Linked DNA regions of Sus scrofa. The protein of the gene in region 2 interacts with the protein of the main gene of each other region in a biochemical or structural test. Links are inferred from orthologs where the notes say so. Each region holds a gene or a part of one and is shown on either strand. Other genes may lie near its edges. The genes, in order: TIMP2, MMP14 and LUM.

The links.
Region 1: the proteins of MMP14 (region 2) and TIMP2 form a complex in vitro, tested with the Homo sapiens proteins (2 studies listed by BioGRID). The link is inferred for Sus scrofa from reciprocal best matches to the Homo sapiens genes MMP14 and TIMP2.
Region 3: the proteins of MMP14 (region 2) and LUM interact in a biophysical measurement, tested with the Homo sapiens proteins (2 studies listed by BioGRID and IntAct, with this or other methods). The link is inferred for Sus scrofa from reciprocal best matches to the Homo sapiens genes MMP14 and LUM.

The regions. Positions count from the first base shown.
Region 1 is NC_010454.4:3,253,518-3,257,651, forward strand, and holds the start of TIMP2 (metalloproteinase inhibitor 2 precursor), read left to right. Parts: upstream 1-1,276; 5' UTR 1,277-1,290; coding exon 1,291-1,423; intron 1,424-4,134. UniProt on the Homo sapiens protein: Complexes with metalloproteinases (such as collagenases) and irreversibly inactivates them by binding to their catalytic zinc cofactor. Known to act on MMP-1, MMP-2, MMP-3, MMP-7, MMP-8, MMP-9, MMP-10, MMP-13, MMP-14, MMP-15, MMP-16 and MMP-19.
Region 2 is NC_010449.5:76,182,942-76,187,229, reverse strand, and holds the start of MMP14 (matrix metalloproteinase-14 precursor), read left to right. Parts: upstream 1-1,345; 5' UTR 1,346-1,583; coding exon 1,584-1,685; intron 1,686-4,288.
Region 3 is NC_010447.5:91,751,829-91,754,477, reverse strand, and holds part of LUM (lumican precursor), read right to left. Parts: coding exon 2,120-2,649; intron 1-2,119.

The DNA.
Region 1 (4,134 bases), on a different chromosome or scaffold from region 2:
CCAGTCCTTCAGGCTCCTGGGCTTCTGGGCCCAACCACCCCCCTTGCTGGCTGGTTAAAAATATGGCCAGTTTATGAATCCCGTTTTGGAGTTCCCTTTGTGGCTCAGCGGTAACAAACCCGAGTAGCAGCCATGACGACGCCGGTTTGGTCCCTGGCCCTGTTCAGTGGGTTAAGGATCCAGCCTTGCGTTGTGGTGTATGTGGCAGACCCTACTCAGATCCCCTGTGTGGCTGTGGCTGTGGTGTAGACTGGCAGCTGTAGCTCTAATTTGACCCCTAGCCTGGGAACTTCCCCGTGCCTCGGGTGCGGCCCTAAACAAACAAACAAACAAACAAACAAAACCCTGGTTTGCTCCTGGTAACCACTCTGCCTCTCCCTCTAACTCCGCTGGCTAAGCGCACTTAAAATTCTAAGGCCTCCATTTGAAAAGGAGTCCTTGGTAAGTTTCAGGCCACCCAGCCACAGGGAGCAGGGGGCGGGGGCAGGGCGAGGGGCGGCCGAGAACGACCCCTGTTCCAAAGCGCACATCCTTTTTCTCTTTCAGTCTCTGGCTAGAATCTCAGCGCCCCCCGGGGTGGAAGGGAATCAGGCAGTGTACACCTCCTGTGCCCAGCTGGAGGGGAAGGGCTGGTGGGTGTGCCGCCTGATGCCCTGGAGGGGTGGGCTGCGAGTCCCAGGTGCTGAGTCAGGCTGTGTGGGGCGCTGTCCGCGCCGCAGCACCCCCTCCCCCAACCCCTGGCGATTCGGGAGCCTGCAGGGTGCGGTCCCGGGCGGGGGGAAGCCAGGTGCGCAGCGGCGGGCCGGGGGCCGGGCCGGGCTGGGAACAACAAAAGCCGGGCTTGGGGGAGGGCCGGGAGGCGCGGGAGGCGCGCGGGGAGGGGAGCTCCCGGGGCCGTCATTGGCCGCCCGCCACCGGGGGGCGGAGCCAAGGAGCTAAGTATCGCAATAAAAGGCCGGCTCGGCCCGCGCCCGCGGCGCACACATCCATAGAAGGCAGTGGAGCCGCCGGGACCCAGGCCGCGGCGCGCCCGCCTGCTCGTTCGCCCGCCGCCCGCCGCCCGCCGCCCCCGCCCGCTCTCTCCTCCGCGCCGCGGGCCGCACCCCGCGCCCCTCGCCGCGCCCGCGACCAAGAGCCGAGAAAGTTTGTGCGGCAAGTGCGGGCCAGAGCGGAGGGCGCGCCCGCGGAGCGCCGCCGAGACCCGCGCGGCCCCGGCCGGCGAGAGGGGAGCTCCCCGAGCCCAGGCGGCGGCGGCGAGCCCGAGCCCGCGCCCCCCGCCCCCCGCCCGCCATGGGCGCCGCGGCCCGCAGCCTGCGGCTCGCGCTCGGCCTCCTGCTGCTGCTGGGGACACTGCTCCGCCCGGCCGACGCCTGCAGCTGCTCCCCCGTGCACCCGCAACAGGCGTTTTGCAATGCAGACGTAGGTAAGGACCGCGACCCCGCCCCGGCCCGGTGCCCACCGCCCCCGCGGGCCGCGCGGGACCCCCGAGGTTTCGCCGGCGCCCCGCCCGCCCGGCCGCATCTTGCAGAGGGACCCAGCGCCCGCCTCCTGGGCCTCGGTGCCTTCTAGAATCCTGCAAGTTGACGCCAAAATCGTACTTTCTTTTCCCCCTTCCTTCTCTCCCTTTCTTTTCCTCTCTGCCGAGATGCTTCTCAACCTCAAAATTCCACCGAAATTCCGCTGCAGCTCCAGCCCCAGAAAAGGGAGCCAGGGAACGGATCGGGTTTTGGCAGGCGGAGGGCCCTGGGATGCCAGCGCGGGGGTGGGGAGAGTGGGGGACACGGCGTGGGGGTGGGAGGACTGGGGACCCCGGGAGGAAACTTTCACAGGTGAAATGAAATGGGAGTTGGGCTCCTCTGGGCTTGGAGCTGGGTGGGGAAGGGCTGCACCAGCGGGGCCTCTCCCACCAGCCCCATTTGGGGCTGGTCAGATCAGGCTGGCCAGGACGGAAGCTTCCCTCTCCTGGGCAGGCTCCCCTGGCCTCCGAGGGGTAGGGAGAAAGATGGGCAGAGCTCCAGGGCGGGCTCCTTGCTCCATACCCTGCATCCAGGGACAGGCAGGAGCGTCCTTGAGTGGTGACTGCTTTTTCAGGACATTCACACAAATTGGGGGCTCTGGTGACTGGAGGCTGAGATAGGGCTGTATGGCTGCTTAGAGGCCCCAGCAAGTATCTGTTCCCCTCAGGGCCCCTTGCCCCCCCAGAGATGGGAGCTCTCCAGGGAAGGAGAGCTTGGTTATTTGTTGATCCCCAGAGGGGCAGGAGACAGAAGCAGGGAGAATGCAGCAAAAACGGGAGGAACCACCTGGGCCCCAGCGGTTCCCAGCCAGCTCTGGTGCTCGCAGGCCCCCTGTGCCCTGGTGATGGTCAGGCGGTTTTTCCCGAGGCACGCTGCCTTTAACCAGAAGGACAGATGCACAGCAGGTGGGCCTCTGCGGCTGCTTCCAACAGGTTTTTTTCAGCTTCTAAGTGTCAGCCAGCAGAGCATCTTGTTGCCAGGCCAGGTGTGGTGAGGCTGGGCCACACTCACGTGGGCCGACTCAAAGCCAGGGTCTGTGGGTTTCTCCTCCTGTCAGCCATGCCCCTCTGATCTCCCCACACTCCCCTGCCTCCTCCCCGGCTCCTGGCCACACCCCAGTTGGCCCCTGGAACTGCCACCACCGCCTGGCTTGGGAGGTCTTCAGGCACAACACGTAGCTCAGGCCACCTGCGCGTGGGGCGAGGTGTGTGCTTGCCTTCCGCAGAACTCGAATTGGGGCAAGTCGAGTCTGTCCTCCAGTTTGGAGAAGATTTGCAGGAGGAGGAGAGGCTCCTCCCAGTGGGGGGGCCGGGACTGGCCCTCCCGTGGGATGTCATGTCGCCTGGGGGTCCAGGCCTGGGCAGGCCCCTCGCTGAGAGAGAGGCTGCGGTCGGGGCAGAATCAGGCCCAGGCCCCGAGGGAACCCATGGCTCGGAAGACACTGGGGTCGAGGGGGCCAAGAGGGAAGGGGCTGGGCCTGGGGACCACCTTACACCCCTCAGCTGCGCGGAGACAGTGTCCAGCCAGCCGCTCCCATCCTTGTCCAGCATCAGCCAAGGTTTCTGCTTTGGGTTTGGATCAAGGGCAGCAAAGGTCAGGGTCCAGGAGACTCCGTGAGTCTGCAGGCTCCTTCTTGCTTGGCGCGTCACCCTCTCTTCCACCTGCACCTCCTGACATTTGTGTCCAAATCATTTGCAGCAAAATCATAGCCGAGCCCACACTTTTAACCCCAGCCCAGCCCAGCGGTCCAGCCAGGCCAGCCGAGGCCAGACTCGTGCTGCAGAGCCCAGTACATGAGATTCCTGTGGCTGCTGCAACAAGTGACGGCAGACCGGGAGCCCTAGACCATAGGCACTGATTCTCTCTCAGTCTGCAGGGCCTAAGGGCCAAGGTGAAGGTGCTGGCAGGGGACGTCCCTTTGGAGGCTCTGAGGGGGTCTGTTCCCAGTCTCTCTCCTGGTGGCTCCGGGCCACCCTTGGTGTCCCTTGGCTTATGGACACGTCGCTCCAGTCGCTGCTCCATTCCCTCGTGGCCCTCTTCTCTGCCTGCCCGTGTCTTCTCCTCTTGTACCAGTCATTGGATTCTGGGCCTGCCCTAGTCCCCTGTGACCTCGTCTTGTTCACATCTGCAATCCCCTACTTCCAAATAAGGCCACATCCCCAGGTTCTGGGTGGACGTGAAGTTGAGGGGGATGCTGCCCAGGCTCGTTCCACACGCAGCCCTTCTGTGCTCGTTCCACCCCGGATATGCTGCTGAGACCTCCCAGGGTGTGGGCCCCGGATGGCCGTGGAGCAAGCCCTGCAGAAAAAGCAGTGGCCTTTCCATGCCTGCTTCTCCTTTAGGTGCTGCAGGCTCGGTGATGATTCCCGCTCCGGCCGAGAGCGGCGTTGCCTGGGGTCTGGATCTCTTTGCAGATACCGAAGGTCTGGTTCAGATCTTGGCTTTTGTAATTTTAAAGCCCTCCAGGTGACTGTGCCATCGAGGCAGTGGCCCAGGAGTCTGGGAAAGGCAATGGCCTGTTGCACGTTGGGGTCCTTGAAGACTGGCCTTCTGCAGTGTGCTGGCTCCTTTCATTGTTGGCTGGATGCGGGCTTGTTAAATGGCTTGGTGTCTGCAG
Region 2 (4,288 bases):
ATTTGTATAGGGGAGCCCTGAGGTGCTTAGCCACCAAATAGTCACTGTGGACTAGGGCACCTCATAGCCACCGTATACTTCTTGCAAACCTGTTAGCTGCACAGGTCCCAGGGAAACCTTTCCTTGTATTGATCGTGGCTCCTCCCATGGAGTCTGGGGGAAATAGGACCTTTGCTCCAATACAATACAGAGCACTAGACTTTTCTTTCATTCTCCTGCCACAAATGTGATAGTTCCTGGGTCTCTGGGGTTTCTGAAACTTCCTACCTGACTTAATTTCGCCCAACCTCCATTATTCCTTCTTTTGCTGTCTTTCCCCCCACTACCTCCTTCCTCTCTCGCTGACCAATGCAATTCTTAGATCTTAGATTTCGCTGATGGTCGAGTTTTCGCTCTCCCACACTTTTCCTGCCTCTTTCGTTTTGCTTTTCCAGATCTAGCCCTCAGCCTCTTATCTGTCTCCCTTTCCCACCATCAGCTCTAGCCTGCCCTCCCCCTTCCCTGCAAACCTCCACCTTTTGTTCTCAGAGTCTCCTCAGCCTCTGGAGATTATACTTTTTAAGGGATTACCTCCTTTTCCGGGGTAGCGGGGGAACTGAACTCCTTAGTCCTGACTCCCATTCTCCCTTTTTCTAGCAATTTCACCAGACTCCGTTTGCCTTTCCCTAGATTCCATAGTCTTGCACTCCTTTCTTCCCTGGCCAGTCCTAATTTAAGGAACAGCAGATTACAAATGACAATAATAAAGAAGTGCATTTGTCTTTCTACAAGGACAGGATCCCCAGATCCAGTGTGGTGGTGGGATCTCTCAGTGGGTAGTTAGGTCTTGCTATTGTTGCTTTTAGGGGGGAGGGGGTTGGTCAGGGGAGGGACACAGGTGCTTGTCAAGAATAAGGGACAAAAATACGGTTGAGCCACAGGTCCCAGGAGACAACCCCTCAAATCAGGTCTCCTGGACGAGCAAGACCGCCCCCCGCCACCATCACGGACTCTGAGCTTCTTGTTTGCCCCAGCCACTGAGCCTCTCAGTACTTCCCACGGAGGTGAGACAAATGCTGAATACCAGAGGAATCAAGCCACCCAAAATATGCTTAGAGAGAGAAAGTCTCCCACATCCCGTCCCCTGAGTCCCTCCACAGTCCCCCGCTCTCGACTGTGGCCTCAACCCCTGCAGATGGCAGCCTCCACCACAGAAAGGCAACTTAGGGGTTTTTTTACCCGGCTCTTGGCTGTAATTGGATTCAGGCTGAAACAACCACGTCCGCACCGGGAAAGGAGGGCATAGGGGCGGGGGCGGAGGGAGGCTGTGGGAGAAGGGAGGGACCAGTGGAGAGAGCAAGAGAGAGGGCTCACGATCCAGTTCGCCCACTAAGCAGAAGAAAGATCAAAAAACGGAAAAGAGGGGACGAGCAAACAGGCGCTTTCAAGAACAAGCCCCTCATCTCCAAGAGGACAGCGCCCTAGGAACCCAAATTCAGTGCCTACCGAAGACAAAGGCTGCCCGAGGGAGCGGCGGCGCGACCCCGGGGCTTGGGCCCTGCCGCGGAGCCCGCACGGCCCGACTGCCTGGACGGTCGCGGACCATGTCTCCCGCCCCGCGACCCGTCCGCAGTCTGCTGCTCCCCCTGCTCACGCTCGCCTCCGCGCTCGCCTCCCTCAGCTCTGCCCAAAGCTTCAGCCCCGAAGTAAGTGAGCTCCTCGGGCCCTGCCCGGAGTTGCGCCCGCGGGGAGGCGAGCCCGGGGGTCTTCGGGGGAACAGCCCCCGGTCGGAGAGGAGGGCTCTCGGGGTCTCGGCCTGCAGGATCCCCCTTCCTTTCCTTTCCCTCCCCCTCTCCAAACTTCCAAGTCGATCCAACTTTTGCCTCCTCTCACCGATCCAACTTTTGCCCCCCCACCCCAGCCGCTGACTTTTTTTCCCCATTCCTTTCCCTGGAAGAACTTTCCAGCGGGGGCCCACTCCCCACCCCTCCCCAGTTCCCCTGGGCTCTGAGCTCAGCCCTGGAACCGGTCAGGAGCCTGATAAATATTTGGACTCGGCTCAGACCCCGCGCTGTCCCGGTTTCTTGTCATGTGCGAGAGTTTGTTGTTTCTCCAACTTTCCAGCTCTCCAGCGCTCTCCCGCCCGCGCTCGCCGGCGGCGCTCGGGCAGCCGGGGGGACTCGGAGACCGCGCCGTGCTGCCCCCGGCCCCCCACGCTGCGGCCGCCGCTGCCGCCTCCTGCCTCCGGGGCGGTCCCGGCCCTCCCCCGACGCCTCGGCAGCCAGGTGTGGTCGGGGGGTGGACAGCGGAGCGGCCCTGGCCCCCCTGCCACCCCCACCTCCACGAGAGAGCCCTCTGTGCCCCGGCCCGGAGCCCTGGCGTCGAGGGTCGCGGCACTGGCGCCCTGGCCCGAGTTTCTGGACACACAAAGCTCTCCTTGTGAGCCGGGGGCTTGGCCTGGCCGCCGCCTCCTCTCCCTGCTCCGCCATCGGCGCCTTTAGGCTCTTTTTGTTAATTGCTTTTCTGTGTCAGTTGCAGGGAGACTGGGGGTGTCGTACCGGGGAGCAGGGCCAGGCTCTGGCCCTAGGTGCCCGCACACGTCTCACAGACTGGGTTGCCCCCCACCCATTCCCCGACGCTGGCCCACCGGGCCCGGGAGGAAGCCGCGTGGGAGTTGTCTGAGGAAGTTTTTTCCTCTCTCTCTCTTTTATTTTGGGGTGAAGGTGGGAGACAGATTTGATCAGCTTCTTATTTTGGGCCATCCCAACCCACTCAGCACGGCCAGGGCCTGGGTGCGGTCGGGAGGGGCCGGGAAGGGCCTGAGCTGCAGAGCAGGGGGAAGGGATCTGGACTTGGCTTCCTCCCTCTTGGTCCCGGCCCTGGTCCCACCCCTGGAGGAAACATCTCCAGAAAGAACACACTCCCTCTGTCCTGAGGGGAAAAGTGTGGCCCTAGGAACGGGGTGACCTGGGAGAGTGAAAATCTGCCCAGGGGCTAAATCTGACACCATCCACAAGCAAGAGGCAACCTCTCCCCAGGCCTGGAGTCTTCCTCTGAGGCCTGAAGGGGAGAGCTCCGAACAAAAGGAGCCTGGGCATCTGGGGGGCTTCCCACTGCCAACTTCGCCTGCCCTGCTTTCCTTCCCTCCCCTGCCCCACTAGGTCCCCTAGGGGAGGGGCAGCAGCCCTGGCTCCGTTTTAAGTGGGTCATGGGCAGCCCCAGTGCCAGAACCACCATTTGCGTCTGGGCCATGAAGGATGGGAGGCAGAGGGAGGGAGGAGCAGACCCAGGGGCTGGGATCCAGGGCCCTCAGAAAAGCCAGAGAGTCCCCCAACCCGCTGCCCCCCAAGGACTCCTAGGCCAGGGGAGTCCCTGTCCTTGATTTTCCCCTAGGGCAATACCTTGCACCACTCAATTTTCAAGACAAAGCCAGCTGATTGAGTTCTCTGACCCAACAGAGTTGCTCCCTCTCCAGGCCAATCTGGACGAGAGCTGAGAGCTGGGGTGGCCTGGGCCTCAGGCAGCCAGCTCCCTCCCACCACCTCGAGTCTTGCACCAGCTCCTGGACAGCCCTCTCCTCCCGCTGGCCTGTTTGGCACTTGGCCCTTCCCCCACTCAGCCGCAGACACAAGAGTCCTCTCTTCTGTGGTTCCGACCTCATAGTCTCCTCTGTGGTTCTTGCTTTGCTTAGATCCTAGGCCTGGGAGGAGGAGAGGAATGGGGGCCCTTCCTTTCCAGGACTTGCAGCTCTCCTGACTCCAGAGAAGTCCCTTTCTTGACTAAGTCTCCACCTTCCTCTGCTGGATACAGGGTGGAGATTGTAGGTGTGAATATTTAGACCTGCCTACCTTCTTGAAAGTCTCATCAGGAAGCGGGGTTTATCCTAGAACTCCCCCCGGATGTGGATTCTCCCCATCTCTCTGCCACCCTCTATCCTGTCATCCTACCCTAGAAGTTTCCTCGGCTTTGCTCCCTGAGGGTTGAGAGGGCCTGACCTCAGTCTTCCAGCTCCAGCAGTGGGCTGCTCCCATCCTTTCTCAAAGCTGAAGCAGCTGCTCCCCCACCAGAGGTCATAAGCCTGGGGTGTGACTCCCCTCTAGGTAAGGCCAGGGGCAAAGGGAGTTTCCTGCATACTTGGGCACAGGCCACAGCAGGCCTCCTGCAGGCACTCACTGTGGCATCAGCCAGCACAGGTCAGGGCAAGTTTGGAGCTCCCAGGAGACCAGCCGAGGAGCAACGCACTCTGCTCTGCTCCCTTCTGGTATACCCGAGGTTAAACCTCGCTCCCCACCCCACCCCCACCACAGAG
Region 3 (2,649 bases), on a different chromosome or scaffold from region 2:
ATCAGTCAAACTCCAGGGATCTTGCTTATGGTACCCACTTCTGAGAGAGTATGGAACAATGGAAAAAAAAACAAGGACTTAGGTCTATAAGAGTTTTCTATCCCTGCCATTTACCATCTGGAACATGTATCTGATCCTTTTGTCAGATATAACATACCCATCACACTGTGTCGCTTGAAGATTACACTAACTGAGGTCCATAAAGCACTTCACACAGTGCTAGCACATACTACCTACTAAATAAGTATTGGTATCCTTTTAATATTTTTCTCTCTTCTAAATTGCTTTACCCTACACAGACCTGTAACTAAGCTAAGGTTTCAAGTTGCAAGGTTGAAATATGAGAAATAGTTTTTGACACTATATTTCCTTTCATCAGAAAAACATTAAGGGGCTTGTTCTAAGAGAATGTGGGCAATTGGTATACATGATTATTATGTGGCAGAATCAACTCACTCGAAGATGCACAGGCAAAGTCAAATAGCAAGACTCCCTGAAATGTGGATACCGAAGTATCAAGGATAAGAATGGGAGAAAGGTAACAACACATTTCCAAATGGCTGTAGGTGCTGGGCACTGGGGTTTCAGTCTCATCTTGGCTGTGAGTGGCTGTTGGCATTTCTCCCATAGACCAACTGTCCTCGCTGCTACCTTGGCTCTTCCTTTTTAAATCATACAATGAAAACTGGTCCTTCGACCTCCAAATACCCCTCCATCTGTATTTCTCCCCTTTCTCGTCTCAGAGTAGAAAAGAGTCTTTCCTTTGGAGCTAACCTCCACCCACCAAATCTAATGGATTTCTTCAGCACTCCAACATCTTAAATCCCATTAGCATGCTGGCTTGTCTGAGCATCCTTCTTCCTAACCACAGATGTTTGTGATGTGGGACTGTATATTGCCACATAGTGAATGTTCCCTAGCTTAACTGTGTATTGTATGACAAGCAAGCTTTCCAGATACAAGAAAGAACATGTGGCATTGCAGAGTCGGCAAGCATGGTCTCCAAGAGAACGCCCCAACCCTATTAGGAGTTATATGAAACTCTGGCAGAATTATAGAATATCATATTAATAAGGCACATTGCAGGTTTTTTTTTTCTTTTCCCAATAGGAGTGTCAATATCCTTACCCACTATGACAAGAGAACCAACTTTAAACTGAAAGATGTTCAATTTAAATAGACTATTTGGCAGACAGAACTATTTACTGTGTGAATCAATGCTTCCCACCTGAGTTTTCATTTAAACAACTTCGTCTGTGAATTACAGTTTTTTTTTTTCTTCTGCCAACATCACTTAAAGAGTAAGGTCGAGAATGGGGAATGTTATTGTCCCATCTGGAAAAACGTCCTGGAAGACCAGGAGAGTGCATAAACACCCCAGGTGGATCAGGTCAAACTCCAGCAGACAAATGAAAGATAAGCTACAGCAGTAACAGAAAGGAAGGAGAACATTTGTGGGAAAATCAAAAGAGGCGAAGTGTTATGTGTAAGCAAAGAGACTCTGTAACGCGATTAAAGATATTCTAAGCCCTTATCATAGTTCTCCTTCATGCTCCCCATGGTCCTCGTAAGAACAACGTGAGGGCCACACACACTGTGATAGAGCAACAGGGATAGATGATGCTCCTGGTAGCTGAGTAATATGTTGAGCCCTAAATAAAGAGGTCAGAGGAGACCATGAGTGTACACAGGCTGCCTGGGCGGGGATAGATGTAAAAGCCTCTGCTGGCTCTGCCTCTTCTGGGCTTGTTGGTTTCTCCCTCAGCTACACCTTGCTTCTGAGAAATAAATGTAGACACACATCGAAGTCATGGAGGAGACAAATGAAAACAAACATCAAGAGATAACACAGTAGGATGAATTAGCCCAGAATATTAAATTGAAGAAATGAGTGTTTACATTCTGTGACCTTAATGGTTTCTTATCTGGACTCTCCAAAGAAAAGCCAGATATTGGATGGATAACAGAGCTAGAATTCTTCTGTATCCTTAGAGAAATCTTATTGTTGGCATTTTCATTTCTTTAAATGGAGCCAAATTGCAATATTTGTGTTGCACCACTCAGATATTTAAAGGCTTGAGGAAACATCAATCAAACACAGGCACAGCTCTCTACTTACTTTCAAGTTCATTGACCTCCAGGTAATAGTTTTCAAGGTTTTCATTGACAGTCGGTATGTTTTTAAGCTTATTGTAGGAGAGATCCAGCTCCAGCAGAGATGATAAATTAAAAGAATTTCCAGGTATTCCACTATCAGCCAGTTCATTATGAGACAAACGCAGGTACTGCAGGCCACTGAAATGCTTGAAATACTCATCTGGGATGTTGCTGATCTTATTGTTGTCTAAGTAGAGAGTTAGAAGAGATACTGGGAGGCCAGAAGGCAGTTTGGTCATCTGATTGAAGCTCAAGTCAAGGTATTCGAGCCCCTTAAGACCTCTAAAAGCCGCTGAAACGGCATCCTCTTTCAGCTGATTGTGTTGCAGGTGGATAAAAGTCAGGTTGACCAGTCCATCAAAGGAGCCGAGCTTCGAGATTTTGTTATTAGTGAGCTGCAGGTCCACCAGGGATTTGGGGAGTGGGCCTACAGACTCGGTCAGATTGTTGTAATTTATATGCAGCTTCTTCAGTTGCTTCAGTTTAGAGAAA